Stegostoma tigrinum: one gene and its partner. Each later gene encodes a partner of the first gene's protein in a complex. Links are inferred from orthologs where the notes say so. Each region holds a gene or a part of one and is shown on either strand. Other genes may lie near its edges. The genes, in order: abcc8 and ATP-sensitive inward rectifier potassium channel 11-like.

The links.
Region 2: the proteins of abcc8 (region 1) and ATP-sensitive inward rectifier potassium channel 11-like are in contact, whole or in part, in a cryo-EM structure (PDB 7S60), measured with the Homo sapiens proteins. The link is inferred for Stegostoma tigrinum from reciprocal best matches to the Homo sapiens genes ABCC8 and KCNJ11. Residues at the interface, in NP_000343.2 of Homo sapiens: Phe5, Ser12, Ala13, Tyr15, Arg16, Val17, Val21, Asn24, Cys26, Phe27, Ala30, Val33, Val34, Val37, Phe41, Phe44, Ile46, Phe48, Ile49, Gly50, Trp51, Gly52, Ser53, Ser55, Lys57, Val58, His59, Ile60, His61, His62; in NP_000516.3 of Homo sapiens: Val44, Ala45, His46, Lys47, Asn48, Ile49, Arg50, Gln52, Gly53, Leu56, Val59, Thr62, Leu63, Lys67, His70, Leu73, Ile74, Met77, Cys81, Leu84, Leu85, Met88, Trp91, Leu92, Phe95, Ala96, His97, Gly98, Leu100, Ala101.

The regions. Positions count from the first base shown.
Region 1 is NC_081370.1:23,364,779-23,381,688, reverse strand, and holds the start of abcc8 (ATP-binding cassette sub-family C member 8), read right to left. Parts: upstream 7,506-16,910; 5' UTR 7,038-7,505; coding exon 7,017-7,037; intron 1-7,016. UniProt on the Homo sapiens protein: Regulator subunit of pancreatic ATP-sensitive potassium channel (KATP), playing a major role in the regulation of insulin release.
Region 2 is NC_081391.1:22,558,369-22,574,797, forward strand, and holds the start of ATP-sensitive inward rectifier potassium channel 11-like, read left to right. Parts: upstream 1-10,136; 5' UTR 10,137-10,335; coding exon 10,336-10,352; intron 10,353-16,429. UniProt on the Homo sapiens protein: Inward rectifier potassium channel that forms the pore of ATP-sensitive potassium channels (KATP), regulating potassium permeability as a function of cytoplasmic ATP and ADP concentrations in many different cells.

The DNA of each region.
Region 1 (16,910 bases):
GTCTGGTCGTTATCACATTGTTTACAGATATCTTTCATGCTCTTTGCAAATTGGCTATTGCAATTCCTACATTGCAGCAATGACTACACGTCAAGTAGTTACTTGGCCATAAAGTGCTTTAAATGTTCGCTGGTCATGATGGGTATGTGCATTTCTTTATTTTGTTTCTGGCTAGTATTTAATGACTATCCCTAATTGCCCTTGACAAAGTGGTGGTCAGTTGTGTCCTTGAACCATTGAAGTCCTTGGACTGTTGGTACTCCCATGATGCTATTAAAAAGGGACTTCCAAGAATCTGACCTCGAGGCAATGAAACATGACAATATAGTTCCAAATCAAGTTGGTGTTAGCTAAAACAGGACCAAACCAGCCAAAGAGATAGCCTTTAATGTGAATTGTAAAAAATGAATGAGCATGAACCAGAGTTGGAGAAACAGAATTCTCAGTGATTTCCAGACCTGGAGGAGACTCCAGGATCGGGAGGGGTGAGAGTAAGAAAATTAAGGTCAAGGCATTCATGGGTCAGGGATCAGTATGGTGAAATGCGAACAGCACAGTGAATGTAAGATTCTTAAAATGAGTTAAAATATGGTAAAGCAGAGCTTTGAGTAGGTTTAATTTTCAGGATGATGTAAATGAAAGGTAGTCAGAACATTGGAATAACTGAATTTGAAAATAATGCAGAGTTTCAGCAGTTGATGAACTGAATGAGGGGCAGAAATAGGTAGTATTTTACAGAAGTTAAGGTGGAAGGGCTTGGTAAAGGGGAGGACACAAAAGTTCAGTTCAAGGTGAAATATAATTGAAGGTGATGCGTAGCCTGTGTTTCCAGACAATTGGTCAGTATGTAGATAGGATAAGTGGCAGTTTCAAAAAGCCAACCATTTTGCTTTTCCCAATTAAGGTGAACTGGAGGCAATTTTATCTTATCTGGGTCTTGATGTCGGAGAGACTGACGTCTCAAAGCATTGGAGGGGTTAAGAAGGAGATGGCAATGTAGAACAGGGCATGTACATGGGACTCATTGCATGTCATTGAGTGATGTTGCCAAGCGGCAATATGCAAATGAGAAATAGGAAAGATATCTATAGTCGATGCTTGAAGTCTCCAAAGGCATTGATAGGTGGAAGCAGAAACAGTCTAATTGCCACTGATACTTGTTCAGTTGTCCATTCCAATAGCTTAACATAATCAATAACTTTTAAATTAAATATGTCTCCCTTTTTTTAGAATCTTTTTGTTCTTAACTACCCAAGCTCTGGCCATTGATATTAAGACCAACCACCACAATGAAAAATTTGCTTCAATCAGTTTTGTTAATTCATTTCATAATCCTGAAAATGCCATCGCATCACTTGTGTATTACATTATCACTACGTTTTGGGCATGTTTATTTTGTTTGTGTTTTCACTACAAATTAACAATTAATGGCCCATGAAATGTTGCATTTTTTGTTCAAGATAATCAGATAGTTACATCTTTCTCCTCTTTTCATTAAATTGAGAAAGACAACTAAAGGATGATTGAATTGCAAAATATTGCTAAGATTGAACACAATGGAAAACAATGCAATAAGTCAGCAACTTGTGATTAGTTGTCAAGCTTAGATTTTTAAAGTCTGCACATTACAGAAGACAGAATAAATTGCAGAGTATAATGTTTAATAATTGTCAATATCAGACCTCTTCAAAACATTCCAAATGCCACTTTATGTCATATTGAATAGAAGATTTTCACCAATTTCATGTGAACATTTTGTTGTTTTTGTTAGCAGGCAACTATTTTGTTCTAATTCTCACTAATTCAAGATCATTGCCCAAGGGTGTAAATTATCTGGAATCATTGAGTTCATTTTAACATTTTGTACAGCTTCAGCTAATAGAGATAAGGTAAAGTCTCAAATTTATTTACGAGCAGCTGGATTTTCATTAATTAGAAGCTACTATTGAAATTAAAATGAGACAGAACCCAAAGGAGGGTGCAAAGACTGGGAGTTAAATACATTCTCCTGAGACGAGTAAGCTGTTGAAGTCTAATTTGTTGTCTCACATATAAAATTGTTGATACATTTCAATTATTGACCGTGTCTAAAAGAATGTTGATACAATCTAAAATCAAAAATACATCAGCAGGATGACAATAGTATTAATAGGCATGATTACTCTAACGTCCTTCATGGAAATTAAGTCCCATCACCATACACTGAAGGCAACCTCTATGATATTATGTGATATTACCACTATGCTAAACTGTACAGATTCAGAACACATCTAGGAACTGGAATCTTGCATCCGTGAACAAGTGTAGCCATCAGCAGCAGCAGAGCTGTATTCAGCTATAAAGATAGCCTCATCACTTGGCATTGCCCCCCCTCTATCATTAGAGTCAAGTCATGGGATCAACTCTGGTTCAACAAAGAGTGCTGGAGACCGTGCCAGGAGCAGCACAAAGCATATCTAAAAATTCTCAAAATGAGGTGCCAACCTAGAGAAGTTACAGCATCAGACATGACAAGCAGCATGAATGGTGCCGGACAATGAAACAACTAGTTAAAAAACTAGATCTACAAACTTCTCCATCTGCAAGGATGGCAGAGTCCAGCACATTAGTGCAATAATCTCAGCCAGAAATACTGGGTGGATGATTCGTCTTGCAACTTGGTCGCCTCCTCAGTTGCCCATCATCTTCAGCCAATTTGATTCACTCCACAAGCAATAGGTGAAGGCTTGGTGCAGCAATAGCTTTGGGTCACGGTAGTAATATTAATGATTTGCTTCAGATTAGGCGGACCTCTAGCAAAGCCATTGAGGTAGTAACGAAACTGGCATTTACCCAAATGAGAAAATTTCCCCAGTTCATAAAAAGCAGAACAAATCTAACTCAGTCAATTTCTACCCTTTTAATCTCCTTTCAATCATAATGTGATGGAAAGTGTCATTAGCAATGTTATGACGCAGGATTTATGAAGCAATAACTAAATGGCTAATGCTTAGTTTGTATATTGCTATGGCCACATAGCTCCAAACCCATCTACAACCTTGGTACAAATGTGAGTAAAAGTGAAGAACTCGAGAAGTGAGGTAAAAGTGACTGGTCTTGACATTGAGGTAGCACTTGACTAAGTACGATATTAAGGAGTCTGAGCAAAACTGAAGTCAATGGGAATCAGGTGAAAACCTTTCCATTGGTTGAAGTCATACTTAGAACAAAGAAAGACAGTTGTGGTTGTTGGATATCAATCACCTCAGTCCCAGGGCATCACTCAGGATAGTGTCCTCTGCCCAATATCTTTGGCTGCTTAACAATGAACGTCAAGCTATATTAAAGTCAGTTATACAGATTATTGCTAATAATTGTACAGTTTATCACCACTCATGACTCCTCGGATTCTAAAGTGATCCTTATTCATGTGCAGCAAATCCTACATAACATTCAGTCATGGGCTTATAAGTGGCAAGTAATATTCCTAGCGCACAAAAGTCAGGTAATGACCATCTCCAAAAAGCGAGAATCAACCATCTTCCTTGACATTTAACAACATTACCAGCCCTGAAATCCTCACCATCAATACCCTGGGATTACCACTCACAGAACTGTATTTCATCAAGCCATATAAATAACTGTGGCTTCAAGAACACGTCAAAATTATGTGGCCAGTAACACAACCAGCTCCCGAAAGCCTGCCTACCATTACAAGGCAAAAGTCAAGAAAGTGATGGAATAATCTCCGCTTTCCTACTTAAGAGTACCTCTAAGAATTTGCCTGAAGCTTAACACATTTAAGGGCACAATAACCCATTTGATCAGTAACTCTTCTACCATAGCAAAAAAAATCTGTGTGCTTCCACTAATGATGTATGGTGGTAGCGATGAGAAACATGCACAAGATGCATTGCAGCAACTCTACAAGGCTCTTTCAACAGTACTTTTCAAATCTGGAATTTCTATCACCAAGGAGAACAAGAAAGCAAATACATGGGAACATCATCACCTGTTTCCCTTCTGAAACATACGTCATTCTAATTGAAACTCTGTATCCACAGTGCTGGGCCAACATCCCAAACTCCCTTCATAACAACACTATGGGTATCTACACTGGTTAATCTGAATTAATTCAAGAAGAGAGCTCACCACTATAATGTTCACATACCCAAAAAAAGAAATAATAGTAAAAACAATTTCTACTTCTTTCTACATGTGATGCATACATTTAGTACATCAATATGTACTATGCAATACTATTTTCAAGCAATGTAAAATTAACTTGTATTCTTTAAGTTGCTGGATTAATGCAAAAATTCAATAATAATTAGGAAGTTAATTTACAGCACCATTAAATTCTCCCAGCCATGTGACTCCTGGTCTATATCTTGTATCTATAGCTGCAAAGTTAATAACTGACTATTTACCAGTAGGTTTATTTGTATAATAGATATAAATGTTTGCAACAGCTGATGGAAAACTAGCTAACATCAAAACAGAAGTGAACGCAAAGACCTAGAGCAAAAATATGTATTTAAGGTGATAAGGGAAAAAACCAAAATAGCTAGGAACAATGGCTTCGAATATTATTGCAAATTCATTTCTGTATCTTAGCAGTTTGCTTTCTAGTCTCTACAGGAAATAACTACTTTATTCTGGTTACTGATTCAAAACATTTATTTGTAATGTAAATCTATTTTATTTTAAATTCAATCATGGTCTGTTGATGTTGCTGACTTGGTCAATATTTAGAGGTTATTTCTGGTTGTTCTTGAGCAGATATTGGTGAGCTATCTACCTGAACTATTTCATTCCATTTGGTACATCCACAATAGCATTAGGCAGGGAGGTCCAGGATTCTGATCCATTAAATCAGGAGGAAAGGCAATATATTTGCAAGTCAGAATTGTGACCAGCTTGGATGCGAACTTACTGGCGGAGCAGTAACTTTTTTTTTACATGAGAATCTAATCTTCCTACCAATAGACGGTAGTTTGTATTTTTCATTTCTAACATCACTCTTTGGATATATGTGCTCCACAATGTTGATTGGAAACCATCGTCCTTATATTGGTGTTCATTAGATTGATAATAATAACTTAGTAGTAATCAATAGGATGTATAAACATTTGGTTTGATGAATTGTTATGGCTTGTAGGTTGGGGACAGTAATGTTATGCTTTACTAAATTTATTAAAACAAATTATTCTGTATTTCTTGCCTCTTTATATTGACTGAATGGGAAACATTTTGCCAACTGAAATTCATGAGCTAATTGTAACTATAATGTGACCCATTTCTGTGAATGCTATTGAAAACTATAACCTGAAATTCTATAATATTGACAAATATTGCCTTTTTCAACAAGTGGTAATGACACTCAAAACAACTACCCAATAGATTCAAATACCCTAAAATTAATTGGGATTTGACAGTTGTATTGTTCCAGTTTTCAGTAAATGCCTAACAGATACGTAGCTACCTCATAAAAATTCAACGTGCTTTGGGGTCAACCATAGATTCTGGATTTAAGCTACTTGGCTGATAGAATGATTGTTCATTATGGAGTTATCCTTCTTTCTCAAATTGGAAAGGAAAACCTGCAAGGGGATCTTAAGTATTGATTTTCAAGGCAGTGAATTACACTGTTGCAATTATGCAACATTATGTTACATGTTGGCAGTGCCCACACCCCATGAACGAATAAACTAAAACAGCTGAATACATCCGTCTAAACCACCAACGGCCGGGATAACGCACCCTCCCATCGGCCATGGTAACAAATATTAGCTGACTGCTGATGTAGCTGGTTTTGCTGGGAGCATGTGAGGTCTCACCATCCTTTCAAGGGCTCGTTGTTTTACGTAAAATGCCTGCCAAGATTTGGGCTGCTTAGCCAGACATTAACGTGAAGTATACTACAAGAATCTTTTTTTTCAAAAATCGTTAGGAATTGTTTACAGCCACATCGCATTACACATCTGAAGTCGTGATTCTAAGCATTGCACTAGCAGAAGTAGAGGGGATTAGTTTGTACTTTGTTCCTGGTAGGGGACTCCTTGTCATGTGATATAATCGAGACCAAACACAGCTCGAAGCAAAATCAAGACCCCAGTTGTGTAACAAAGCAAAATTCCTGGCAGCGAGCCACCTAGCGTATACAAATTCATGGTGCTGGATGTATACATTATACTGATGTTGGGAGTAACCCCCGTATCTAATCTACACCAAATTGGCTGTCGCACTATATTCTTATGAGCATAAAGTTGAGGATGTGATCAAATATGTCGTAAAATCTACCTAAATATAACCGGGTGTTACAAAGAATACAACCTAAAGAAATAAGTACTTCCGATAGTGTTCATATCCAGTGTCTTTCTTTTACTGGAAGAATGTGAATTTGGAAGTACATCGATATGTCATATTGACAGAATGAAGTAAAAACAATAACGATAGAAGATGAAAACAAAAATGACCCCGAGCTCTAGAGAAATGAAATACTGCAGTGCACTTGCCCAACGCAATTAGTAGTGCTCGTTTCAAACTCTAAGGGGGTTCGTAGTCGTTGGAGTCAGTATTTCCTTGAAAAGGGGTAACTTCATCCCATTACCTGACCTTCCCTCAGCCGCAGATGCAGCATTGCCGTCCCTCCTCTTCCCCTTCACTCATTGGCTCAACTACTCCGGCGGCGTCTGCACAGCAAACGTCATTTTGAGAAAAATACCCCACTTTGAGCTGACACCTCTTCAGCGTTTCAGTTCGGGTCCCGCTTCTATTGCGGTGCAAGTGATCACTTCAAACGTGTAGGCTAAAACAAAGACAAAACCCCGAACGTTCACCTTTAAAGGGAGCTGAGTCCATACTGACGGATACAGTGCCTGCAGCAGCTGCTCCGGACCCTGGATTTCGGAACCCTGATCTGGTTACTCTGACAAGCTTCTAAACCCCACAGCAGGCAGCACTTACTGAAGGGAGATACAATGCGGGTTCCCATGGTGCGATAATCACGACATTTAAATGTGCTTTAAGCTTACCTCTTTATACCTGGTTATCATTTTTTAGCTCCGAATTTAAGCTGTGAATAGTGTGCCATTGAGAATTACAGAGGTTCACGCACATTCGGCACAGCAGGTCGTGAAAATTGAAACAGGTCAGGACCGCGTGGCGGTCAAACCTATCACCGGAATCTCTCCTGCTTTGTTATGCTTCAAACTCCATCTTTTTCTCCAGAAGTAGGTCGACACTGTCATTGCTTCATCCCGATGCTATTTTCCGCGCCTCATGTTCTGTCGCCGTCGCTCTACTTGGCTGAGTGCAGGTTGATTACTGGAGTGCCGTTGCTACAGTGGGTCACACAAACACCCGGAAAGAAAAGGCTGGTGGGGGAGGGACACACACACACAGCTCAGTAATAAGGGGGAAGCTGCATTTAGGGTTCAGCGGGAGCTGCTTGAAGTGAGAGCAGCGCGGGATGTACTGTAAATAAGGCAGCAGAGCGCTCTCCGTGGTACCTGGAGTCATTTGCTAAAAGCTCTCGGCGCGGTAAAGGCGGAAAGCCGACTGTGCAATCTGATGTCATATTTGTTTGTCGAATGTGTATTTCTTTCGCTTCAGTGCAGGTGAAAAGCCAACATCGTGCCAATCAAGAGTTGGATAACATCTCGAAATCTAGTCTCACATCGACTCCACCGGACAGATACAATGACAGCATTCGCAACCTGAGTCAGGCAGTGACGGTTCGAGAGACTCATCATCCAAACCTACCGCTATCCTCTGGGTCAATTATTTGGAACATTTTCCAACTTCATAATCAGAGAATCATTTGTAAGGCGTTAGATACAACGTCTTAATGGGTGCAAGCCTTTTTCCATTTTCTTGAAGCATTTTATTCTTCATGATTTCAACAGCCAACGAAATGAGACCAGAGTTGAAAATGTAGAAATACATTAGATGTACAATTACTATAAAGAGTTTACCTTACAGAACAAAGATCAATTCAACCTCACACTGAAAGTGGTCCCTGTCAAATGCTTCAAAAGAATTTTTGTTTGCGATCCTAAGGTTCAAGCACCCCAGTCATTCATTGGTCGTTGGCACAACATATTTCCGTGGCTACGTCATTACTTACTTCCCACCTGATATCTGCGCTGCTTTCCCTCTGTTTTCCAGTATACCCCCCCCCCCACCTGTCCCCATTATATGGTGAGAATATGTTGGGAATATTGTAAGGATCACATAGGAGGCCTCAATGGAATGTGTAAATGGAGTTGGAGCTCCTGTGAACATTCAAAGATTGAGATCCTTTAAAGGGTAGATTTGAAGCCAAAGGGGATCTGGTGAGCTGAGGGACAGAGAAAATGAGGAAGCATTGACTAGTATAATTGGTTAGAAATGGGTATACATTTGAACTGTTAAAGCCAGAGAGATGGAGACATGATGCAGGTTGAACCATCTGAGTATGGTTATAACAAAGTGTGGAGCTGGATGAACACAGCAGGCCAAGCAGCATCTCAGGAGCACAAAAGCTGATGTTTCAGGCCTCGACCCTTCATCAGAGAGCTCTCTGAAGTGGTCCTGAGATGCTGCTTGGCCTGCTGTGTTCATCCAGCTCCACACTTTGTTATATTGGATTCTCCAGCATCTGCAGTTCCCATTATCACTGAGTATGGTTATAGCTTAGAATATGATCGATGCGATGATGGTTTCTAGCCTGGGAGTGTGAAGAAGAGGGCAGGACTACAGAGATGTCAGAGGGAATTTAATTAAGTGTGCTCCCCTATATATTGACAAGGTCTTAGGTTAGACCTCTAATTCTGCTGCCATGAAATCCTGGCAATCTAAAATGAAATAATATGTTCTTATATTTTTAAACCTACCTTTTCCTTTTGCAATCAGGATACTTTGCTTTGCTTCTTTGTGACTGGCTTTAGAGTAGGATTTGCACTATCTTAGTATCAGTTTTATGTTACAGGAAATGGATAAACACAGCTGAATAAAAAAATCCATTTTACAAATAAATTTGTGTATCATAGTCTTCATTAATGCTGCATTGAATTTTATGATGTAGTAGAGCAGAACGTTTGTGCACATGAATAATCATACATCAAAAGGATAATTTATCAGTTACAAGAAATTCTTATCTTTCAAGGCTATTGAAAACACCAACTATTTAAAACAATCACTATAATTTTTCCTTTTCCTTAAACAACAGCTTCCCTTAAAGTGATGTACCAGTTGAGACAGAGAGAAAGAATTAAACCTGGCAAAAATGTACCCAGAGATAATGGGAACTGCAGATGCTGGAGAATCCAAGATAACAAAGTGTGAAGCTGGATGAACACAGCAGGCCAAGCAGCATCTCAGGAGCACAAAAGCTGACGTTTCGGGTCTAGACCTTTCATCAGCTCTGATGAAGGGTCTAGTTTGTGCCTAGACCCAAACAGGCAAATTTCGTTCAAATAGAAACTCTAGGATTAGCTGCTGAAACTCTGTAATCATATTTTTCACAGCATAACATGCAGTTGTTGCGTGTTTGATAATACGTCCTCCTCGTGTCATGCAGATAAAATAGCACAGATGATTCATTTAGTTTTTATAAATCCCAGTAAATTTTGCACATTTTGATTGGTTACAACTATGGGCAATATTTGCAAAGTATTTAATATAATTCAGGAAAACACTCCAGTCAATGCCATAATCAATTTCATACCCATCATTTTAAATGTTCTGCAGTCAGATAAGCACACTTTGAATAGTTACCTTGCCTACATTTTAGAATTAGCCTGGACTATCTGGGAATTGAAGATTATTTTCCAGGACACTATTGAAGTCAATGTTGAAATCAAGCCAAAGGATGATACAAGGAAGTTGTAACCATTTTTTCATTTTTAAAATCTTTTTTATTAGAAGATGAAAAGATTACTTGAATGAAAATAATGTGTAATTCAGTTGCAATTTACTTTCACTTGCAAGGTAAATGCAAGGGAGATCCAGGTGGGTGATACTTCAGCATAAATAATAGAAGGTAATATTGAATGGTCACGAGAGCTTCAACTGCTGCAGCATATTTTTGTTCTGATGGTATTTTCTAGGGAGTTGACGCTTTCTGCTGGAAAATGGAACATCAACTGAAGATCAACATTGTGCCCTATTCTCCATTGAAAACATTTGTGACCATTCCTTCATAGATCTCAGCCCTAATATTGAAGTCACGGAGCTGAGAAATGACAGTGGAAAACAAGGAAACTGGGCCCAGAAAATGAGTTTCATCATGTTAGCCATTGTGATAGAGGTGGGAGGACAAGCAAAGTCAGAGTCAGGTCTGCAGCCAAATGATGGGTAGTTGTGTAGTTGTGAAATCAAGAAGAATTTTCCTTATGGATTGTTATGGCTTGGATCCAAAACAATCAGGTATCACTTGGTAAACATATCAATTAGTAGTGTTCGCTGTTCCGTTTGCTTTCTGGGTCCATACTGTGGTACACTGGTTAAAAAAAAGATCCTTAGTTCTGTGACACACACTCTCATTTGATGTCATGCATAACATTACAGCATTTTGTTCAATGGAGACTTAGTTTGCTCATGGTGAAATAACTCCACAGAGGCTAGTATCCCATCACTAAGTCATCCTTTGTTGAAATGTGCATAGTACTTGATGTTGATCTGGCTTCCTCAGAGCCAGCTTTCAGAGTGAACAGGATTTCCAACACTCCTGTTTATATCCGTCAGCTAGGGCTCCCTGACTTGACCAGATTAACAGACCCAATAAGGAAACTGATTCTATGAGATCCACCTGACTGACCTGCTTACAATTATATCCCTCCCCCTGTCAATGCCACAATCAATTTCATACCAATCATCTTAAATGTTCTGTCTGGGGATGTTGATCTGGTCTTTCTCTCGCAAGCCTCTCCTGGAGTGTTTTCACGCTAGGTCCACTTCCTCTGACTCTGCCTCAGACACAAGTGGCCTGTACCAGACTGTAACCTGCCTCTTGCATCCAGAATGTCTCACAAGAAATTCATCTTCAGGCAGTAAAGGTGTTGACACTGCGACATCCATTGTGTCCATCTCAGACTCTGAGGTTTCTTTGACGCTAGACCAAGGGAGAGAATGCATGGGTTCCAATAGCCTTTCTGGATGTTCTGAGGGGCTATGTGTGTTTTGCTCCTGCCTTATTTGCCAGTTTGCTGCTTTCACATGGTCCATGTACTTGTTCAAGTCCAGGTCACTCCCAAGCCAAATTTAGGTGGACTTTCCAGGGTGTGTACTCTCCTGGATACTGGGCTTATGAGTTTTCTTACTCCCGTTAGATCTAGTGGGACTCTTTTGTTGTCTTGAGTCAGCATACCATCAGCAACCACAATAGGTTGCTGTTTGGCTGAGGCTTGGCTTTGTTTTTGAGTTTTGTTGTGGGCTGACCTGGGGTCCCAAATGAGGCTATGCAATTGCTTTAATTCAAGTGGTGCTCTCCAAGCTCAGTCAGCATGCAAGGATGCCCACTCCATTGGCACACCCTGTAACTCATATGCTACACTTGCTGCATTTTCTAATGAGAAAGCCAGTAGCAGTGCCTGCTTGAAGTCCAGTTGGACTTGAGCTAGTAGGTGCTTTTGCATGGTCACATCATTAATCCCACATACCAAATAGTCTCTCATCTTCTTATTAAGGGTTAAACCAAAGTCACATGTCTCTGCCAGGTATCTAATCAGGTAAACAGGTAATCCCTGGTATCTGCCAGGTAATCCCAACACAATCCCCCTGTTCCTTGAACTGTTGAGTAAAACCGATAGCATCTTAAAATTAGAGGAAGCTAGATTCATAAAATTCCTGAACTAAATCCATCAACTCTTGAAAGATTTTACTATCTGGTGTGGCATGAAATATTAGGCTTCTTGTAACTAAAAAAGCTGTGGGTCCACATTACTTATTGCTTTTCATCTGGCCTAATGTCATTTGCTTAGAAAAAATGACACTATCTTTCCATATACTGGTAAACATCCTCAGTGCAGCCTCCGATGAAGTGTTGGTGTGTTTTCTGGCCTGGTTTTTAAACTCTGGAGTCAAAAACCAGGTGGGAAAACACACCAACACTTCATCGGAGGCTGCTTTGAGAATGTTACCCAAGCGTGGTAATGAAACGTCTGTGATACAAGAAACCAATTTGGCGAGCCAACCAACCTCAACACCCACAACCCAAGCTACAAATCTACTATAAGACCTTAGATACTGGTAAAACTGACACATTGCTCTCAAATAACACAACAATCTTCAAGTGATAGCAATTTTGTTAAACTAGATAAACATTGGTACTCCACATTTTATATCCTGATCTGAGGCTGTGAGCACACTTATCTGGAAGTCTGAGAGGTATACCAGTCAGCTCTTTGCAATCGACCCATGCTGAATTTGCAAAGGGATATAAAAAAGGGACAAAACAGACAATCTGTAAAGTGATTGGTTGCCAAGAAACTGCAATTAGTGACTGTGTTTAAATTGCTGTAAAATAACAATGCATTTTTTCCTCTAAGAGTTAGCCATATTTTATTCATTCATGGGATGTGGGTATTATTGGCTGGGTCAGCATTTACTCCCCCTCCTTAGCAGCCCTGGAGAAAGTGGTGGTGAGCTGCCTTCTTGAACCTGTCCACTCCATTTGGTGTAACGACATCCACTGTGGGTCCAGACTGACCAACATTGAAGGAGTGACGATACAGCTCCAAGTCAGGTTGGTTATTGGTTTGGCAAAGAACTTGCAGGTGGTGGTGTTCCCAAGTATTTGCTGCTTTTGTGCTTATAGATGGAAACAGTCGTGGGTTTGGAAGGACAAAGGAAATGAGAAACATCAGGAGCACGGTACATTCAGGGCCAAGACAATAATGTAATGCAGGTAATCCAAGACAAAGTTAATATAAAGGAAGTCATTTCATAACATTTAGATTTAAATTTAGATTCTTATGTCACATGTTCTCCAGTATACAGATACAGGAGTACAGTGAAAAAGAATACAAATTCACTATTCTCTGGTGCCAACTTAGTATACAAGACAGAATTACATATTTTTGAGGTGAAAGAAGATTTTTAAAAAGACATGATGGGCAAATGTTTTTTTTAACCAGACAGTAGTCTATATGAGGACTGAAATTCTTGAGGAAGTGGTGGACATGGTAAGTTCAGGAATTCGAAAAATTTGGAGGGTATGGGCCAGGAGGAGGCAGGTGGGACTGGTTTAGTTTGAGATCATGTTCAGCATGAACTGGTTGAACGGTTGTATGACTATGACTTTATAAGTAAAAAGAACCTGCCAAGAGAAAGGGAAATGTCCAGATCACTCCCCACCTCTACCATGAGTCCTCACTGCCACAAAGTCCATGCCTCAGTTTGTGAATACTCAGCTGCCCTCAGTCCCTGCACACCACTGCAGCTGGAACATCACCACCTCCACAGTCAGGACTCTGGGCCCAGCCATTGCTGCTAGAACCATGTCGCCATTGTTCAGTGCCATCTTGCCTCCACCAATGTTGTCGCTGCCATGAGTCCGTGCTGAGCTGATCTCAGTGATGCAGCTGCTGTTAAAGTCGCTGAGTCCTGAACTGGGCTCAGATTCAAAGCTGGGCACACTGCCACCGGCTCGCTGAGAATAGGATGGCTCCTACTGCTGAAGGAAACACTCCCACCAATAAAGGGGGAAAAAAAGAACAAAAATGAAAAAAATAGCAAAAGTAAAAGAAAGGGAGAGAGGAAAAGAAATGCATTTGGAAGTGGATGAGCACTGGGTTCAGGACCTGGGCATGAATTCTACTACTCTGCTACAGCGATCTTTTCTGTCATGGCAGTGCAGCTCAGTCAAATGAAATATTGGCCTGTAATAGTTGGGAAATTATAGTCCTTACTGATTTCCTCAATAACTATGTTGCACAAGTTATTGTCAGTGGCAGAAACTTGAATCGTGGTTTTCATAACTCAGTCACTGTGGGACATCATGGCTGGTTTTGGGGAAGACAATATCTGTACAAGCCAGGTGGGTTCCACTTGATCAGAGCTAGTACTGAGTTCCTTGTGGGGCCCTTTGCTAATACTGTTGGGAGGGCTTTAAACTAATTCTGCAGGGGTGTAAGAATCGAGTGGCACTACGAAAGCTGAAACTAGGGATGCACAAAATGTTTGCAGAGACTGATAACATGAGTATCGAAAATATAAAGGTGAAGGTGGAATGAGGAGAAAGGAACTCAGTTTAAAATCAGGATTATTGTGTATGTTTGTGAATGCACAGGATGTAGTAAATTAGACGGGGGAAATACGGGTGCAGATTGTCATCTGGAAATATGATGATGTGACGATAACAGAGACCTAGGACACGGAAGAGCAAGAATGGGGGTGTTAAAAATTACAGAGTAAATGCTGTTTAAAAAAGATAGGAAAGGAAAGAATGGATGAAGAATGGTGGTGGTGGTGAAGGAATTTTATAACAGAAGGAGGCAAAAAAGCTCATTAGAATCCAAGGCATTGTGAGAAAAGTCTGGTCGCCAATGGAAATTATCGAGTTTCTTGAAACAACAATTCTTTCTGCTAGCAGTAGACTGAGTTGATATTAGTCCAGGCCAGGAATTGTAACAGCAGAACTAAAAGAACCATTCATTTCTCACTTTAAGGACACTCAAAATTCCCTCAACTTGTATTAGGAGACATCATTCAACACAAGGAAGAAATCCATGACTTACTCAATGATGCTGATGCTTCATAAAAATAAAGTAACTGGAAAAAGCAGGGAGATGTTGAGGAAGATGCCCCAAAGTTGTTCAGAATTCTGATTGATATATTAAAATAAAAGTGCCAGAGAAAGGTAACACAGAAGCTGTCAATCTTACCACTGATGCACCAAAAACATGGTATTTGTTTCTGAAATTCCATAGCTTTAGGAAAGCTCAAATGAAGCAATTTATTGACCCATGTAATGCAAAAGATATCAATTTCTTTAGTTGTTTACCCAAGATTAAATTTATGATAGTATTATATAATCAAATACAATAGTATTTTGCAATAGAGAGTTCTTGGCTAAGGCATATTAATTCATAGATTGTACTTAAATGTTCTCCACATGCAACTTTCCTATGCCATTTTGGGTTGGGAGAAATAGTCAAAGGTGTATTTGGAACATAGAAACAGGAGTAGACCATTCAGCCCCTTGAGGCTGTTCCACCATTCAATGAGATCATGGCTGATCTGTCCTCTAAGTCCAAATATCTGCCTTTGGCTCATAGCCCTTAACACCTTTGATTAACAAAACAAAATCTCAGATTTAAAATTAACAATTTGTGATAGGGGGAAAAGTCCCCCATACCTGATATGACAACAGTCTATTCCTTTGAAGGACAGTTACTTCCCAACATTAAGCAACCAATGTTAAAATATTTGGTGAACTTATTGAACATAAAAAGTGTGGAACAGAATGAAACGATTTAGCTGAATGTATCACACCAACACAGTTCTACGAGGTAACCAACCCGGCAAGATAAAAAAAAATGCTTTATCAAAGGTGGCTCATTAAGCTGTTAAGTGTTGCGGAAGGTGGAGTTATGAACCACAAATCTTGGAATCCATTTCCTATCATCCATGTACATCACCGTATGGATATTGTAAACAGTTACAACCTTAATTTTTACAGGTTTTATTGAGAACCTCTGAGCAGCAGAACTGAATTAGTGGTCTTGCCACCTTGAGGGCTTGTGAATTGCATCATTGCCCCAGCTATGCCTGCCACTTTGTAGGTTATGTGGAACAGTCCCTCTTCCGCAACAACACAGGCCCCAAACCCCACCTCTTCCTCCGTTACATTGATGACTGTATCGGCGCCGCCTCTTGCTCCCCAGAGGAGCTCGAACAGTTCATCCACTTCACCAACACCTTCCAATCCAACCTTCAGTTCACCTCGGCCATCTCCAGCACATCCCTCACCTTCCTGGACCTCTCAGTCTCCATCTCAGGCAACCAGCTTGTAACTGATGTCCATTTCAAGCCCACCAACTCCCACAGCTACCTAGAATACACCTCCTCCCACCCACCCTCCTGCAAAAATTCCATTCCCTATTCCCAATTCCTCCACCGCATCTGCTCCCAGGATGAGGCATTCCACTCCCGCACATCCCAGATGTCCAAGTTCTTCAAGGACCGCAATTTTCCCCCCACAGTGGTCGAGAACGCCCTTGACCGTGTCTCCCGCATTTCCTGCAACACATCCCTAACACCCCGCTCCCGCCACAACCGCCCAAAGAGGATCCCCCTCATTCTCACACACCACCCCACCAACCTCCGGATACAACGCATCATACTCCAACACTTCCGCCATCTACAATCCAACCCCACCACCCAAGACATTTTTCCATCCCCACCCTTGTCTGCTTTCCGGAGAGACCACTCTCTCCGTGACTCCATTGTTCGCTCCGCACTGCCCTCCAACCCCACCACACCCGGCACCTTCCCCTGCAACCGCAGGAAATGCTACACGTGCCCCCACACCTCCTCCCTCACCCCTATCCCAGGCCCCAAGATGACTTTCCACATTAAGCAGAGGTTCATCTGCACATCTGCCAATCTGGTATACTGTATCCATTGTACCTGGTGTGGCTTCCTCTACATTGGGGCAACCAAGCGGAGGCTTGGGGACCGCTTTGCAGAACACCTCCACTCAGTTCGCAATAAACAACTGCACCTCCCAGTCGCGAACCATCTCCACTCCCCCTCCCATTCTTTAGATGACAACCAGCCCAGCTCTTCTCCTCCACCCACTGCATCCCAAAACCAGTCCAGCCTGTCTCTGCCTCCCTAACCTGTTCTTCCTCTCACCCATCCCAAGCCGCACCTCCATCTCCTACCTACTAACCTCATCCCACCACCTTGACCTGTCCGTCTTCCCTGGACTGACCTATCCC
Region 2 (16,429 bases), on another chromosome or scaffold:
GTATATACGAATCATTAAGACCGAACAGGAAATAATATGATGGAATATTGATCAGAAATAATGGGAACCGCAGATGCTGGAGAATCCAAGATAATAAAATGTGAGGCTGGATGAACACAGCAGGCCCAGCAGCATCTCAGGAGCACAAAAGCTGACGTTTTGGGCCTAGACCCAAAGGTCTCTGATGAAGGGTCTAGGCCCAAAACGTCAGCTTTTGTGCTCCTGAGATGCTGCTTGGCCTGCTGTGTTCATCCAGCTTCACACTTTGTTATCTTATGATGGAATATCGACCTTTCTTTCTAGCCCTCATAGTTGGGGTTGGGACCAGAAGTCCTGCTTCAGCTCTACAAACTCCATCTCAGAGAGTCATAGAGTCAACCCCCATTCTCTGAGCATTTCATGGCATTTGTGTAATTCCTACAGTGCAGATAGAGGCAATTCAGTCCATCAAGGCTGCCCCGAGGGCCCATGCACTCAGATCCTGTGTGGAACGACTGGCAGGATATTCGCAGACATCCTTAACCCAATCTGGAGTCCCCACCTGCTTCAGGAAGACCACCATCATCCTGATGCCAAAGAAAAATCACACAGTGTTCCTCAACAACTACCATCTGGTGGCTCTGACCTCCATAATTATGAAGTACTTCAAGAGGTTAGTCATGGCTCAGATCAAGTCCAGCTTACCAAATTGTCTCGATCCTTTGCAATTAACCTACTGGTGCAACAGGTCCAGGCTAGCTCCCTGGCCCTACACTTAGCCCTGGAACATCTGGGTAACAAGGATAACAAAGATATCTATCTCAGGCTCCTATTTATTGACACACAGTTTCACATTCAACACCATAGTTCCAAAGAAAATCATCTCTAAACTCCAAGGTCTCAGCTGTCCCCTCTGTAACTGGATCCTCAAATTCCTGACCCAGAGACTGCAATCAGTACGAATAGGTGACAACACCTCCTCCACATTAAGCCACAACACTGTTGCCTCTCAAGCTGCGCATTCAGCCCCCTGCTACTTAGAGCATGGGTGGGTACTTGGAACTACGATGTTGTGTCCATTACAGAAACTTGAGTAACTCAGGGAGAGGAATGGTTGTTGGAAGTTCCGGGATTTAGGTACTTTAAAAGAAATAGGGAGAGTCGAAAACGAGGTGGGGGGGGGTGGCATTGCTGGTCAGGGCTAGTATAGCAGTTACTGAAAGGCAATTGAGAATGATATGTCTGCAGAGTCAGTTTGGATGGAGGTCCAGAACAAGAAAGGAGCAGTCACTTTGTTGGGGTTTTTTTTACAGATCCCCTAATAGTCGCAGAGAAGTAGAGGAGCGTATACTGGAAAGGGGCAAAAGTCACAGGGTTGTAGTCATGGGTGACTTCAACTTTCCAAATATTGATTGGAAACATTTTAGTTGTACAGTTTAGATGGAGCGGATTTTATCCAGTGTGTTCCTGACACAGTATGCAGATAGACCAACACAAGGAGAGGCCACTTTGGATTTGGAGCTTGGCAATGAACTGGGCCAAGTGTTAGACCTGTTGATAGGCGAGCATTTTGGCAGTAGTGATCATAACGCTGTTACTTTTACAATAGTCACGGAAAAGGACAGGTACATACAGCAGGGTAAGGTTTATAATTTGGGGAAGGGTAATTATAATTCAGTTAGGCAAGAACTGGGTAACATAAAATGGGAACAGATGCTGTCAGGGAAGAGTGCTATTGAAATGTGGAGATTGTTTAAGGAATGCACACTGCGTGTGCTCGATGTGTTTGTCCCTAGCAGGCAGGGAACATGTGGTCGAGCGAGGGAGCCTTGGTTCTCAAGAGAGGTCAAATGTCTGGTTAAGAGAAAGAAGGATGTGTATGTAAGGTTTAGGAAACAAGGAACGGAAAAAGGTCCAGAGGGTTACAAGTTAGCCAGGAAGGAGCTGAAGAAAGGACTTCAGAGAACTATAATGGGGCATGAGAAAATCTTGGCAGATAGGATCAAGGAAAACTCCAAGACTTTTTACACGTACATGAGGAATAAGAGAATGACCAGAGAAAGGGTAGAGCCAATCCAGGATTGTAAAGGAAATTTATGCACGGAGCCTAAAGAAATAGGAGAGGTCCTTAGTGAACACTTTTCTTCAGTATTCACAACTCAGAGGGACCTAGTTGTGGAGGAGGACAGTGTGAAACAGGCTGGTTGGCTAGAGGAGGCTGATGTTAGTAAGGAAGATGTGCAAGAAATTTTGAGGAAGTTGAAGATAGATTAGTTCCCTGGGCCTGATGGGATTTATTCAAGGATTCTATGGGAAGTGAGGGAAGGGATCGCGGGGCTTTTAACGATGACATTTTTGTCCTCACAGTCCACAGGTATAGTGCCGGAAGATTAGGTAGAGGCAAAGGTCATTCCCTTGTTCAAAAAAAGGAATAGGGATAACCCTGGAAATTACAGGCCAGTTAGTCTTACATCAGTGGTGGGCAAATTATTGGAAAGGGCTCTGAGATGCACAGTTTGATTCATGATAGTCAGCATGGATTTGTGAGGGGTAGATTATGCCTTACAAATCTTATTGAATTCTTTGAAGAGGTGACCAAACACATGAATGAAGGTAGAACAGTGGATGTGATATACATGGATGTAAGTCAGGCATTTGATAACGTTCCCCATGGTAGGCTCATGCAGAAGGTAAGGAGGCGTGGGATAGGGGGAAATGTGGCAGATTGGATTCAGAATTGGCTGACCCTTAGAAGACAGAGGGTGGTAGTGGACAGAAAATATTCAACATTGTGCTCAGTTACGAGTGGTGTACCACAAGGATCTGTTCTCTTCTATTTGTGATTTTTGTAAATGATTTGGATGAAGGAGTGGAATGGTGGATTAGCAAGTTCGCAGATGATACAAAGGTGGGTTGCATTGTGGACAGTGCGGAGGGCTGTTCTAGGTTACAAAGGGACATTGACAGGATGTAGAGCTGGGCTGATAAGTGGCAGATGGAGTTTAACCCTGAAAAGTGTGAGATGATTCATTTTGGAAGGACAAATCTGAAAGCAGAACACAGGGTTAACGGATTCTTGGCAGTGTGGAGGAGCACAAGGATCTTGGGGTTCATGTTCACAGTTCCCTGAAAGCTGCCACCCAGGTGGATAGAGTTGTTAAGAAGGCGTATGATGCGTTAGCTTTCATTAATAGAGGGATTGAGTTCAAGAGCTGTGAAGTTATGCTCCAGCTATACAAAAGCCTGGTTCGGCCATCTGGAGTATTGAGTCCAGTTCTGGTTGCCTCATTACAGGAAAGATGTGGAGGTGTTGGAAAAGGTGCATTGTAGATTTACCAGGATGTTGCCTGGAATGGAGGGAAGGTCTTACGAGGAAAGGTTGAGAGAGCGAGGGCTTTTCTCTTTGGAACGATGAAGGATGAGAGGTGACTTGATGGAGGTGTACAAAATGATCAGAGGTATAGATAGAGTGGACAGGCAGAGACTTTGTCGTAGGGTAGGGGTAGCTATTACAAGGGGACATAGGTTTAAAGTGAGTGGAGGTAGATATAGGGGAAATATCAGAGGTAGGTTCTTTACTCTGAGAGCCGTCAGGGCGTGGAATGAATTGCCAGAGAGGGTAGTGGAATTGGCCTCATTTGGGGCATTTAAGCAGCTATTAGATAGGCATATGGATGATAATAAAAGGTAGGGCTGGAGGTTAGATAGACCTTGGGATTAGGATAAAAGTTTGGCACAACATCATGGGCTGAAGGGCCTGAACTGTCCTGTTCTATGTTCTAAGGTGAGGGAGCTGGTCGTTGACTTCAGGAAGCAGAGTGGAGGGCACGCTCCTGTCTGCATCAAGGGGGCTGAGATGGAGATGGTCAAGAGCGTCATGTTCCTGGGAGTGACGATGTGTCCTGATCCACCCATGTCAACGCAGTTACCAAGAAAGCACAACAATGTTTGTGCTTCCTCAGGAGGCTAAGGAAATTCAGCATGTCCCTAAAGACTCATACCAATTTTTATGGATGCACCGTTAAAAAGCATCCTGTCTAGATGCATTGCAGGTTGGTATGGCAACTGCTGTGCCCAAGGCTGCAAAAACCTACAGACAATCGTGAGCACAGCTCAGCCCATAGCGCAGACCTGCCTTCCAACCAGTGACTCTGTCTACACTTCCTGCTGCCTCGGGAAGGCAACCAACATAATGAAAGACCCCTCCCACCCTGATTATACTCTCCTCCACACTCTTCTGTTGGGCAGAAGATGTAAAAGGTTTAATACACATGTGAGTAGATTCAAGAACAGTTTCCTCACTGCTGTTATCAGACTTTTGAACAGACCTCTCAAATGTTAATTGTGACCTCGCCATCTGCACCTCCTCAATGTCTATAACATTGTTTTGCAACCCTGATGCACTTTGTATGGTATGATCTCGCTGTATAGCACGCAAAACAACACTTTTCACTGTATCCCAACACATGTGACAACGATGAATCGAACTCAAACTCAAAATCTATTTTAATTTTCTGTACTTAGGTCTGTTGCCAGTTGCTTGCCGGTCCAAAGTGCAATGCCATGTTATTCTTACAGGTGGCGCTGCCACAGTGGAGCCCACTACTACCCCCACTAGGGCTCATGCGGTACTGCAAGGACAGAAGCCACAGCTGAAGGTGTGTTTTACAATGCAGTTCCACCATGCCCCACCGTTTCAGTTAAAGAAATGTTTATTGCTCCACCATTGGTGGTCATGGCCTTCAAGTATCAAGGCCCTCAGCTCCAGAAATCCTTCTCGGCTTCTCTGTCTCTTTTAAGATGCTCCTTGACAAAGTGCCCTTTCATCTCCTTTATGTGGCTTGTTTTGTATGTTTTGCTTTCTATTCATTTGTGGGATGTGGGTAACGCTGGCTGGCCAGCATTTCTTGTCCATCCCTAGTTGCCCTTGAGGAGGTGATGAGCTGCCTTCTTGAACCGCTGCAGTCCTCCTGGTGTGGGTTGACCCACAATGCTATGGGGGAGGGAACTCCAGGATCTTGACCCAGCGACAGTGAAAGAAAGCGATATATTTCCAAGTCGGGATGGAGAATGACTTGGAGGGGAACTTGGAGGGGAACTTGGAGGTGGTGGTGTTCCTATATTTCTGATGTCCTTGTCCTTCTAGATAGAAGTGGTTGTGGGCTTACAAACTGCTCCCTAAGGATCTGTGTTGAATTTCGGTAGTGTATCTTGTAGATAGTGCACGCTGCTGCTACCGAGCATCAGTGGTAGAGGGGTTGAATGCCAGTGGACGTAGTGCCAATCAAGCAGGGGCCACTTTGTTCTGGATGGTATTAAACTTCTTGGGTGTTGTTGGCGCTGTACTTATCTAGGCAAGTACAACAGTCGCATTTTGGGCGTAGTGGCACAATATAAATGCAAGTTGTTGTTGTAAAGGGCAAAGCAGCTGTTTCTGGGCTACAGGGTGAAGGTTTCACTTTAACATCCTTCAGTCACACCTTGACCAGCATCTGTACAGAAAAAAGTGCTTTATCATCAGTGTGTTGGAGAAATTGCTTCATAGCATTGCTAAACTTGTGACGTGAACCCAGCCTAATCCTGTAATAATAAATCAGCTGTGATAATTAGAAGGTACATGGTGAATAAAAAGGCTCCACATTCTTCAAATACTCTTCAGTGAGTAAATCACACAATTTCCCTCTTAGTTCCATAAAGATGCAGTTAGTCTGAGATCATCTCCAAAAATCTGGGGAGACATTGTTCACGACAGCCTGAATTTTAGATACATTTCCAAAAGGATAGGTGCACTTAAACTCCAAAGACAGACAGGTTCCATTAGCAAATCACAGTGCAGGGGTCTATTCTCTCTTTTGGTTTGTGTAATCAGCTTCTTACGACACACATCTGGAGCAGGTCAGATTTGAATTTGGAGATAGGGACACTGTCATGGTGCCACCAGTCTCTTTTTAGGTGACGGCAGCCACACTAGCAGAGATCTAACAGGATCCCTGGATTATAATTAGCCACAAGTGATCATAGTCCAATGACAACAAAAGATGCTGGAGATCACAGCGAGTCAGTCAGCATCGATGGAGAGAAAGCAAGCTAATGTTTCAAGTGTGGATGACTCTTGATGAAGATCTTCAGCTTTTTTATTTGTTTTCAGTTCAGTTTTCAGCAGGTGCAGTAATTTGCTCCGACATTGTGTATGATCCAACGACACATCTTCTCTACGGAAAATCATCAGACAAGAAAAATAGGGCAAAAGGTTTATGATACTTGGCTAAAGAATCAGAGGGAGGGGTGTAGTGTTCACATGTGCTGTCTTTGTGAATCTGACACTGCTTACTATTGAGGCCCACGGTATTTGATTGATTAAACCTCACTGTGGACTCAGACAGAAGTTAAGAACCTGGGGAAAGGGAAGGCAGATGCAGTGACAGTGGGATGCAGTAGTCTCTGAGTTCAAGCCTCACGGCAGGACTTGCTGGCTGTCGTAAGAGTGTTTGTAACTTCGCCAAAAAGTTTGACTGTTATTTGGCCCATCAAGTCCACTCCATATCATGGCTCATAAATTTCTCAATCCCATTTTCCTGTTTTCTCCCTTAATCCCCTTACCAATCAAGAACCCATCTGTCTTATTTCTTAAAGACAGTTAATGATCTGGCCTCTGCAGCCCTCTGCACAATAGGTTCACCATTCTCTGCCTGACAAAAATCCTCCTCATCTCAGATATAAAGGATTGTCCCTTCACTCTGAGGCTGTGCCCTTGGGTCCTGGTCTGTCCGAACAGTGGAAATGTCTTCTCCATGTTCATTCTATCCAGGCCTCTCAATACTCTATAAGTTTCAATTGGATCTAAACTCCATTGAGTACAGACCCAGAGTCCTCAACTGCTCCTCATATGACAAGCCCTTGATTGTGGGGTTCATTCTCATAAACCTCCTCTAGACCCTCTCCAATGAACAAAAGAACATAAGAACCAGGAGCAGGGGTGGGCCATCTACCCCCCTCGAGCCTGCTCCACCATTCAACAAGATCATGGTTAATCTTTTCATAGACTCAGCTCCACTTACCTGTCCACCCACCATTACCCTTAATTCCTTTATTGTTCAAACATGTATCTATCTTTGCCTTAAACACATTCAATGAGGAAGCCTCAACTGCTTCACTGGGCAGGGAATTCCACAGATTCACAACCGTTTGGGTGATAATGTTCGTGCTGAACTCAGTCCTAAAACTGGTCCCCCTTATTTTGAAGCTGTGCCCCCTCGCTCTAGTTTCACCCACCAGTGGAAACAATCTCCCTGCTTCCATCTAATCCAATATTATATGTTTCCATTCAGATCCCCGAACTCTTCAAAATTCCAATCAGTATAGTGCTAGTCTACTCAGTCTCTCCTCATAAGGGAACCCTCTCAACTCCAGAATCAACCTAGTGAATCTTCTCTGCACCCCCTCCAGGGGCAGTACAAACCACTGGTGTATGTTACCTCTCAATGTGGACCCAATCTAATGGTAGTACAAGGCCCAAATTGCTGGAGAAACTCAGCAGGGCTGGCAGCATCTATAGAGAGGAAACACTGGACAGGAAATGTTAACTCTGTTTCTCTCTCCACAGATGCTGCCTGACCTGCTGAGTATCTCAAGCATTTTCTGTTTTTGTCTGTTTCAGGGCAAAAGACAGACAGATTGAGGGAACGTTCCACTAAATCTGTGTTGTCCTTCTCAGTAAAAGATTGCATGATTCGGATGAACAAGAGGGGCAGTGCCTTGAGAAAAGACTGATAAATAGAACAGGAGCACCAACATAGAGCAGGTATTTTAAAACATCATTTCTGTGTAGCTTGGAGAATATAAAAGGCACATGGAGGGGGGAGTGAGGGGGATATCTATTATCTACCACAGTGAGTTGTTCCAATCTGGACTGTGCAGTTTGAAAAACTCAGTGGAAGCAGACTGAAAAGTAATGACATTCAAGGAAGTTAAGAAGCAAGGGATGGCACAGTGGCTAGCTCTGCTGCTGAACAGCGCTAGGGACTGGGGTTCGATTCCACCCTCGGGTGACTGTCTGTGTGGAGTTTGCACATTCTCCCTGTTTCTGTGTGGGTTCTTTATGTGTACTCCAGTTTTCTCACAAAGAGCCCAAACCTAAAGGAGTGATAATGGGAACTGCAGATGCTGGAGAATCCAAGATAACAAAATGTGAGGCTTGTTGAACACAGCAGGCCCAGCAGCATCTCAGGAGCACAAAAGCTGACGTTTCGGGCCTAGACCCGTCATCAGAGAGGGGGATGGGGTGAGGGTTCTGGAATAAATAGGGAGAGAGGGGGAGGCGGTCCGAAGATGGAGAGAAAAGAAGATATATGGAGAGGAGAGTATAGGTGGGGGGGTAGGGAGGGGATAGGTCAGTCCAGGGAAGACGGACAGGTCAAGGAGGTGGGATGAGGTTAGTAGGTAGCTGGAGGTGCGGCTTGGGGTGGGAGGAAGGGATGGGTGAGAGGAAGAACCGGTTAGGGAGGCAGAGACAGGTTGGACTGGTTTTGGGATGCAGTGGGTGGAGGGGAAGAGCTGGGCTGGTTGTGTGGTGCCGTGGGGGGAGGGGACGAACTGGGCTGGTTTTGGGATGCAGTGGGGGAAGGGGAGATTTTGAAACTGGTGAAGTCCACATTGATACCCCGGGCTGCAGGGTTCCCAAGCGGAATATGAGTTGCTGTTCCTGCAACCTTCCGGTGGCATCATTGTGGCACTGCAGGAGGCCCATGATGGACATGTCATCTAAAGAATGGGAGGGGGAGTGGAAATGGTTTGCGACTGGGAGGTGCAGTTGTTTGTTGCGAACCGAGCGGAGGTGTTCTGCAAAGCGGTCCCCAAGCCAAACCTAAAGGAGCATAGGTTTAAGGTGAGAGGCAAAATATTAAAAGGGAGGTGAGGGTAACCTTTTCACACAGAGGGTGGTATGTGTACGGAATGAGCTGCTTCAGGAAGTGCTGGAGGCTGGTACAGTTACAACATTTAAAAGGCACCTTTTACATTAATAAAGGTACACGAAGAGGAATGGTTTGGAGGGATTTGGGCCAAATGCTGGTAAATGGGACTAGATTAGTTGAGAATCCAAGATGACAAAATGTGAGGCTGGATGAACACAGCAGGCCAAGCAGCATCTCAGGAGCACAAAAGCTGACGTTTCGGGCCTAGACCCTTCATCAGAGAGACCCTTCCTCTCTCTGATGAAGGGTCTAGGCCCGAAACGTCAGCTTTTGTGCTCCTGAGATGCTGCTGGGCCTGCTGTGTTCATCCAGCCTCACATTTTGTCATCTTGGAATTCTCCAGCATCTGCAGTTCCCACTATCTCTCTTAGTTGAGGATATCTGGTTAGCATGGATGAGTTGAAATGAAAGGTGCGTTTCCATGTTGTACAGCACAATCTGCAAGCCAGGTGGATTGGCCGTGCTAAATTGCCCCAGGGATGTGTAGGTAGATTGGCCATGGGACATGGTGGGCTTACTGGGATGGGGTGGGGTGGGGGTGTTTGGGATGCCGATAGGAGTGTGGACTCGATGGGCCGAATGCCCTGCTTCCTCCGTGTCAGGATTCTATGAGAGGTGGGCGGAATTACAGAGCTATGAGCTAAAAAAAGGGGAACGTTTGGATAGCAGCTAGCGCAGGTGGGCTGAATGGCCTCATTCTGAGCTGGATTATCCAATCGAATTGCAGGCTATGAAGTGAAGTGTCAATAACAGAAAGTTAAGTTTGGGACAATGTCATGGCGCTTTCTGGAAACAAAAAGATGAAAGAATATTCCTGCAAAATCTTTAAAATTCTGTGAAGAAGCAATTCTTGGAAACTCGTCTGTCAGCAGTTTCAAAGAATAAAAAGCCGATCGAGTGAGGCTCGGAATTGCTGAGGAGAATCTGGAGTTTACAATACTGTACTTCCCCTTTAAGGAGAATTCGCGCTGCCATTTGGCAGAATAAAATCCTCCAATTGCCCTTAAGCCGTCACTTTAAAGGTCCTATCTATTACTTGTTTCCATGGGAATAGATGGATCAGCTGTTTTCTTTTGTGTGACCTCTAAGGAGACACAAACCCCAGGCTTCCTCGTATTTTTGGACCAGGCTGTTCAGCAAATATCATTCCCACCCACCCCCCCCTACCCACAGCCAGGCCAGGTTCCTGATCGAAAGGGATGCTCAATCCGTAAACCTCTAGGTTCCAGACGAGCAACCAAAACAAAGCGAGGATACAATCTTTAATCTGATTCCTCTTGCATCCAAGGTCAGTGAATGTTCCGGTTTCTGGACCTTCTACTGTGCGTTCACAGAATAATACAACAAGATAAAGGGATGATCAGGGCTGTTTTACACTGACTGCATGCCATGTTTACTAAGGTAAGTATTCAGCTGATGGCTGAATTACTAACACACAGCCACAATTAGATGTGGTACTATTGCTTCATATTTCAAATGCCCGTTCTGCAGAAGGAACGGAAGGATTGCATTCGGGCAGCGTCCTTTCAGCACATTCCAGCCAAGGGAGTCCTTTAGAAGCACCGCCACTGTTCATTGCAGTCAACGTGTGCACAGCAAGCTCCCACAAACAGCAATGTGATGAACAGAGAATTTGTGTTAGTGATGTTAATTGAAGCTTGGAAGGGTTTCCCCTGTCCCTATTGTGAATGGTCCCTCGCTTGGCTCAGCTGTCTGGATGACTGGTTTACAATGCAGAGTCAACACCAACAGTGTGGGTTCAGTTCCTCTGCTCCCACACCGAGGGTGGTTTGTAACAGAATGAGTTGCCAGAGGAGGCTGTAAATGCAGGTATAGCTTCAACATGTGGACAGGAAAGAAAGGATCTGCAGCAGAACATGGCTCCTTCAGGGCTGTGTTGGAGGGTCAATGCTGTTGTATTCTTGCTGCGGTGTGCTGACCTCTACAACCTCCTGTTTGACAGACAAAGGTGTGTCTGACAGCAGCTGGGTGTTACCATTACTCCTGTGTCCACCTGCAACTGAACTCCCCCGCCCCAACTTCTTTTATTCCCCACCTCCTCTGCTGCCAAAGCTTCTCGGTCCCCAACCAGGACCTTCTTTCATCCTTTACTTGTTCAAGGTTTGTAATCCCTGATGGCAGGGACAGAACTTTCTCTCTCTCTCTATCTGATTAACGTTGTGAGAATGTTTTTCCCTTTTTATGTGGAGTTTTAAGGATTGCTTTCTGGAGGCTGAGTGTGGTATTTCACTTTGATATGTGACAGTGGTCTCTATCTATTTCTCTATTGTTTCTATTTCTTTCCTGGAGAGCAGGTTTCTGGTCTTTTCTTTTAAACACTCAATTACCTTTGAAATAAAGGCTGACATTCCATTTTCCTCCCCTATTACCTGCTACACTTGGATGCTATTCAAACCATCTCCAGCTTTGCTCCCTCAAATATCTATTCCTTCAGTGTGAACAGCTGGCTATTCAACTATGTAGGTCATTGCTGGCCATCTCGATAATGTTTTCACCTGATGTCCACCTGTGTTTTTCTGTTGGGCAGTGGCTAGAAAATGTCTGACAGTTTGTGTACAAGCACGTTGGTCACTCTGCTAGCCAAAGGCCCTTGTACTATAGAAGGGAGCTCAACACATGCTGGAAGTCTTACGCTGGACTCAACATTCACTCAATATCCATTAGATTCAAGAAGCTCAACACCACCCAGAACAAAGAAGCTCACTTGACTGGCATCTATCAATCACCTGATGCACAGTTAACCATCTACAAAATGCACTGCAGTAACTCAGCAAGGCTCCTTTGGCAACCCCTTACCAAACCCATGACCTTTACCATCAGATACATGGGAGCACCACCCCCTGCTTCCCCTCCGAGGCATTCACCATCCTGACTTGGAAATATATCGCTGTTCCTTCAGCGTTTCTGGGTCAAAATCCTGGAACTCCCTCCCTAAGAGCATTGTGGGTCAACCTACAATGTGTGGTTTTTTGGGTGTTTAGGAAAACAGCTCACCACCGCCTTAGTATCATAGAATGTCTGCAGAAAGAAGCCATTCAGCCCATTGAGTTTGCGCCAGCCCTCCAAAGAGCATCCCTCTTGATGGGCCAAATGGCCCATGTCCGCTCCTACAACTTAGGTTATTTTTAAAAATGAGTTTGAAGAGGATTTGGAAGCTTACAAGTTACATGTTTCCCACATTACAGATGCGACAAGTAAAAATAAAAACACCTCATTGGCTTTGGGATGTCCTGAGGCCCAGAACAATTGGCTTAATGAAAATGTGAGTCTGTGTGACTTTTTCACACATTTTCTGAGTTTGTTTCTCTTTCTTCACCTCTCGCTATCTCTAAACAGAAGCTCTGAGGCATTGCTCACTGTCTGTCAAAGATAGAAAGGTGGAGGGACAGATGGTGTTGAGGAAACAGAGGCTACAGAAGGACTTCTGCTGGGAGAGTTGGGCAAAGAAGTGGCAGATTGTATTCCATGTGGGAAAATGTGAGATTACGCACTTTGATAGGAAGCATAGAGGCGTAGATTATTTTCTAAGTGGGAAACAGCTTCAGAAATCTGTAGCACAAAGGGACTTGGGAGTCCTAGTTCAGGATTCTCTGAAGGTTAACGTGCAGCTTCAGTTAGCAGTTAGGAAGGTAAATGCAATGTTAGCATTCATTTTGAGAAGTTTAGAAAAGAACAACAGAGATGTACTGCTGAGGCTGTATAAGCCTGTGGTTAGGCAGCATTCGGAATATTGTGAGCAGTTTTGGGCCCCGTATCTAAGAAAGGATGTGCTGGCCGTGAAGGGAGTCCAGAGGAAGTATACGAGAGTGATCCTGGAGATGGAGTGCTTGTCATATATGGGACGGTTGAGGACTCCATGGAGTTTAGAAAGACGAGGGAGGTATCTGATTGAAACTCTCAGAATACTGAGGGGCCTGGATAGAATGGATGTGGAGGAGATGTTTCCACTAGTAGGAGAGTCTCGAACCCAAGGGCACAGCCTCAGAGTGAAGGGAGAACCCTTTTAGAGCTGAGATGAGGAGGAACTTCTTCAGTGTGATGGCGATGAATCTGTGAAACTCATTGCCGCAGAAGGTATTACTTCCAATGGCCAAGTCATTGAGTGTATTTAAGATGAAGGTAGGTCCTTGATTAGTAAGGACTTAGTGTTATGAGCAGAAGATAGGAGAATGGGTCTGAGACTTGTCAGTCATGATCAAATGGCAGAGCAGACCCAGAGGGCCAAATGGCCTAATTCTACTCTTGTATCCATGGGAAAAACAGAGTGGTTATAACATGTTACATGCTAAATTTTTTATTTTAATTTCAAAAATATCTTTTGTGAATAAAAAATATTCAGATATAATATCTTTTGTGCATAAAAAATATTCACATATATATAGTCACAAATGCAATTCAATTCTGTACAATAGTATATTAAAGAAACCAACAAACACAGGAGTTTACCTCTATCCAAACAAACCAAAGGCATCTCTTAGAATGGGACTACATTTATATGCAGAGACAGTAAGAACTGCTGATGCTGGAATCAGAGATGATGCAGTGTGGAGCTGGAGGAACACAGCAAGCTGAGCAGCACCACAGGAGCTGGAAAGCTGATGTTTCGGGTTGGGATCCTTCTTCATGCATCTCTGCTGCTTTCCCCATTTCTGGAGAAGCGTCCTGACCCAAAACATGAACGTTCCTACTCCTCTGAAACTGCCTGGCCTGCCGTTTCTCCAGCTCCACAATACATTTATATGAATTTGAAGCATCAGGAGGGTCTGAAAACTGAACAGTTCCCCATTTAAATTTGGCAGGAAGGCCGCTGACAGTGATCTTTCTCCACTGCACCTTGGCGGCAGCCGCCCAAGCTATGGTGCGTCCCTCAGCGTGTAGCCCTGAACGTTGCAATGTGCTAATCTGGAACACTTAGGCTGGGTCAATTCCTTGTTCTGGAGGATGGCAAGGTTCAGGCAGACCAAAGAGTGTCTTTCACTGAGTTGACGGTGCTTGAGGTGCAACCAATGTTTGTCTTGGTGTGCAGTCCTGGGCAACAGACCGTAGAGCACAAAGTCCTGCATCACAAAGCTGCTCAGGATGAACCTCAACAAAAAACCACTTTCTAATTATCATCTTATTATGGTGTGGCATGAATAATTTAGCACGTCTCTTGGCTCACATACAGACTAATTGCTTTCAGGTATATCTTAGGTGTATCTTTCTCACATAGGACCAACTTCCTGTTTCTTTTTCTTTCGATCTTTTCTGTTGTTTTTGGCAAGTCAAGTGGCTTTCTTTGTTTGATAACTTGTTTTAAGAACAAATCAATTCCTGATGTGGCTGTAGGACTCCTACTATGTGGCAGGTGAGTCTCAAAATCTGAAACACTGGATTGACCAGAATTAATCTGATACTGAAATCTACTTGCTTTTTTTTTGTTGGACACTCTAAGGGCTGGCCTAAGTCATCAAATTGGCATTAATTTCAGATGTGTGTACCAGCGGGAAGTGATACCTATCAGTTCACCTGGCCTTGCTATTTCTTCCTGTTGATACACTAGTGGAACATCAGCTGTTTTATGTACAAAAGTAGAAGTTGCTGGAAAAGCTCAGCAGGTCTGGCAGCATCTGTGAAGAAATCAATCAGTTAACATTTGGGCCCAGTGACCTTCCTCAGAACTAGACCTGAAATGTTAACTCTGATCTTTTTCTTCACAGATGCTGCCAAACCTGCTGAGCTTTTCCAGCAACTTCTGTTTTTGTTCCTGATTTACAGCGTCCGCATTTCTTTTGGTTTTTAACTGTTTTATGCAATTGATTTATTGTCATCCCATGTACTGAGATACAGTGAAAATTGTTGTTTTGCCGTGGTAACCAGGCAGATTGTACCATACAGAGTGCAGAATACAACATTACTGCTGCAGGGAAGTCTCAGAGATAGAGATCAGAGTTAACATTAGCGAGGTCCATTCAGAAATCTAAACAGCAGGGAAGAAGTTTTCTTGAATCTGTTCATATGTGTATTCAAACTTTTATATCCTTTGCCCAATGGGAAAACATAGAACATAGAACATAGAACATAGAACATAGAACATAGAACATAGAACATAGAACATAGAACATAGAACAGTACAGCACAGTATCGGTCCACGGTGTTGTACCAAATTTTTACCCTAAACCTAAGGTCTATCTAACCTCCATCCCTACCTTATATAATCATTCATATGCCTATCTAATAGCCACTTAAATGCCCCTAATGAGGTCGATTCCACTACACTCTCCGGCAATGCATTCCACGTTCCTACCTCTGATGTCTCCCCTATATCTACCTTCACTCACTTGGAAGATAGTATAACGGGGAGTGGGATTGTCACATGTACCGAAGTACAGTGAAAAGCTTTGTTTATGAGCAGTACAGGCAGATCTGAGGAGGCAAGGATGTGCAGATCGTAAGGTGAAAAAAATACTTAGAGGCATACAGGTTACGTTGCGCAGGGTGTGGGCTAGACAAAATCGACATTAGCAAGATCAGTGTTTCGTGAAGCCAGAAAGTCCATTTGTCAGTTTAATAATGGGCGGGAAGAAGCTGTTCCTGAACCTGCTTGTGGGTGTGTGTTCAGGTTGAGGTTGTAGGAGGTCATTACCAGGGTGTGGTGGGTCTTTGATGTTGGCAGCCTTTCTTCAGCAGCGAGCCGTGTAAATGGAGTCCGTGGATGGGAGGTTGGCTTCCGTGATGGTCTGGCCGTGCACACCACCTTCTGTAGTTTCTTACGGTCCTGAGCAGAGCAGTTGTCATACCAGGCCATTACGGTAACTCCAATAAATTTGTTAGCATCTCCCTGGACCACTAGTAGTAGCAGCCTCTTGTTTCTGTGTTAGATCTTAAAGTTCCGGGACTGATACATGATTACAAAATCTAAACATTGACACCATATTGAGGGTATGCAGCATTGTTAGAGATACCAACTTTTGGATGAGACATTGACTGAAGAGCTCATCTGTCCTGTCAGGTGGATATAAAAGGCCCAATAGCCACAATTGGAAAAAAAATGCAATGGAATTCTTTCCAGGGTCTTGGCCAATACTTATCCCTTAATTGGTATCACTGAAATAGTTTATCATGGAGTAATGGGGTCTCTTATTTAAGACTGAGGTGTGGAGACATTCTTCCCCTCAGAGGGTTGTGCGTTTGTGGAATTCTCTTCCCGAGAAAGTGGTGGAGGCTGGACCATCAAATATCTTTAAGCCTGAGTTGGATAATAGTTTGACTAATGAGGGCTTTAAATGGCATGGAGGTAGACAGGAACATGAAGGCCACAATTAGATCAGCCATGATCTTGTTGAGTGACCCAGCAGGCCTGAAGGGCTGAATGGTCCACTTGTCCTCCTAATTTGTGTAGAATGATTGAAGCACAGGAGGAGGAGGAGGAGTACATTCACCCCACTGTGCCTGTGCTAGCTCACAAAAGCATCTAC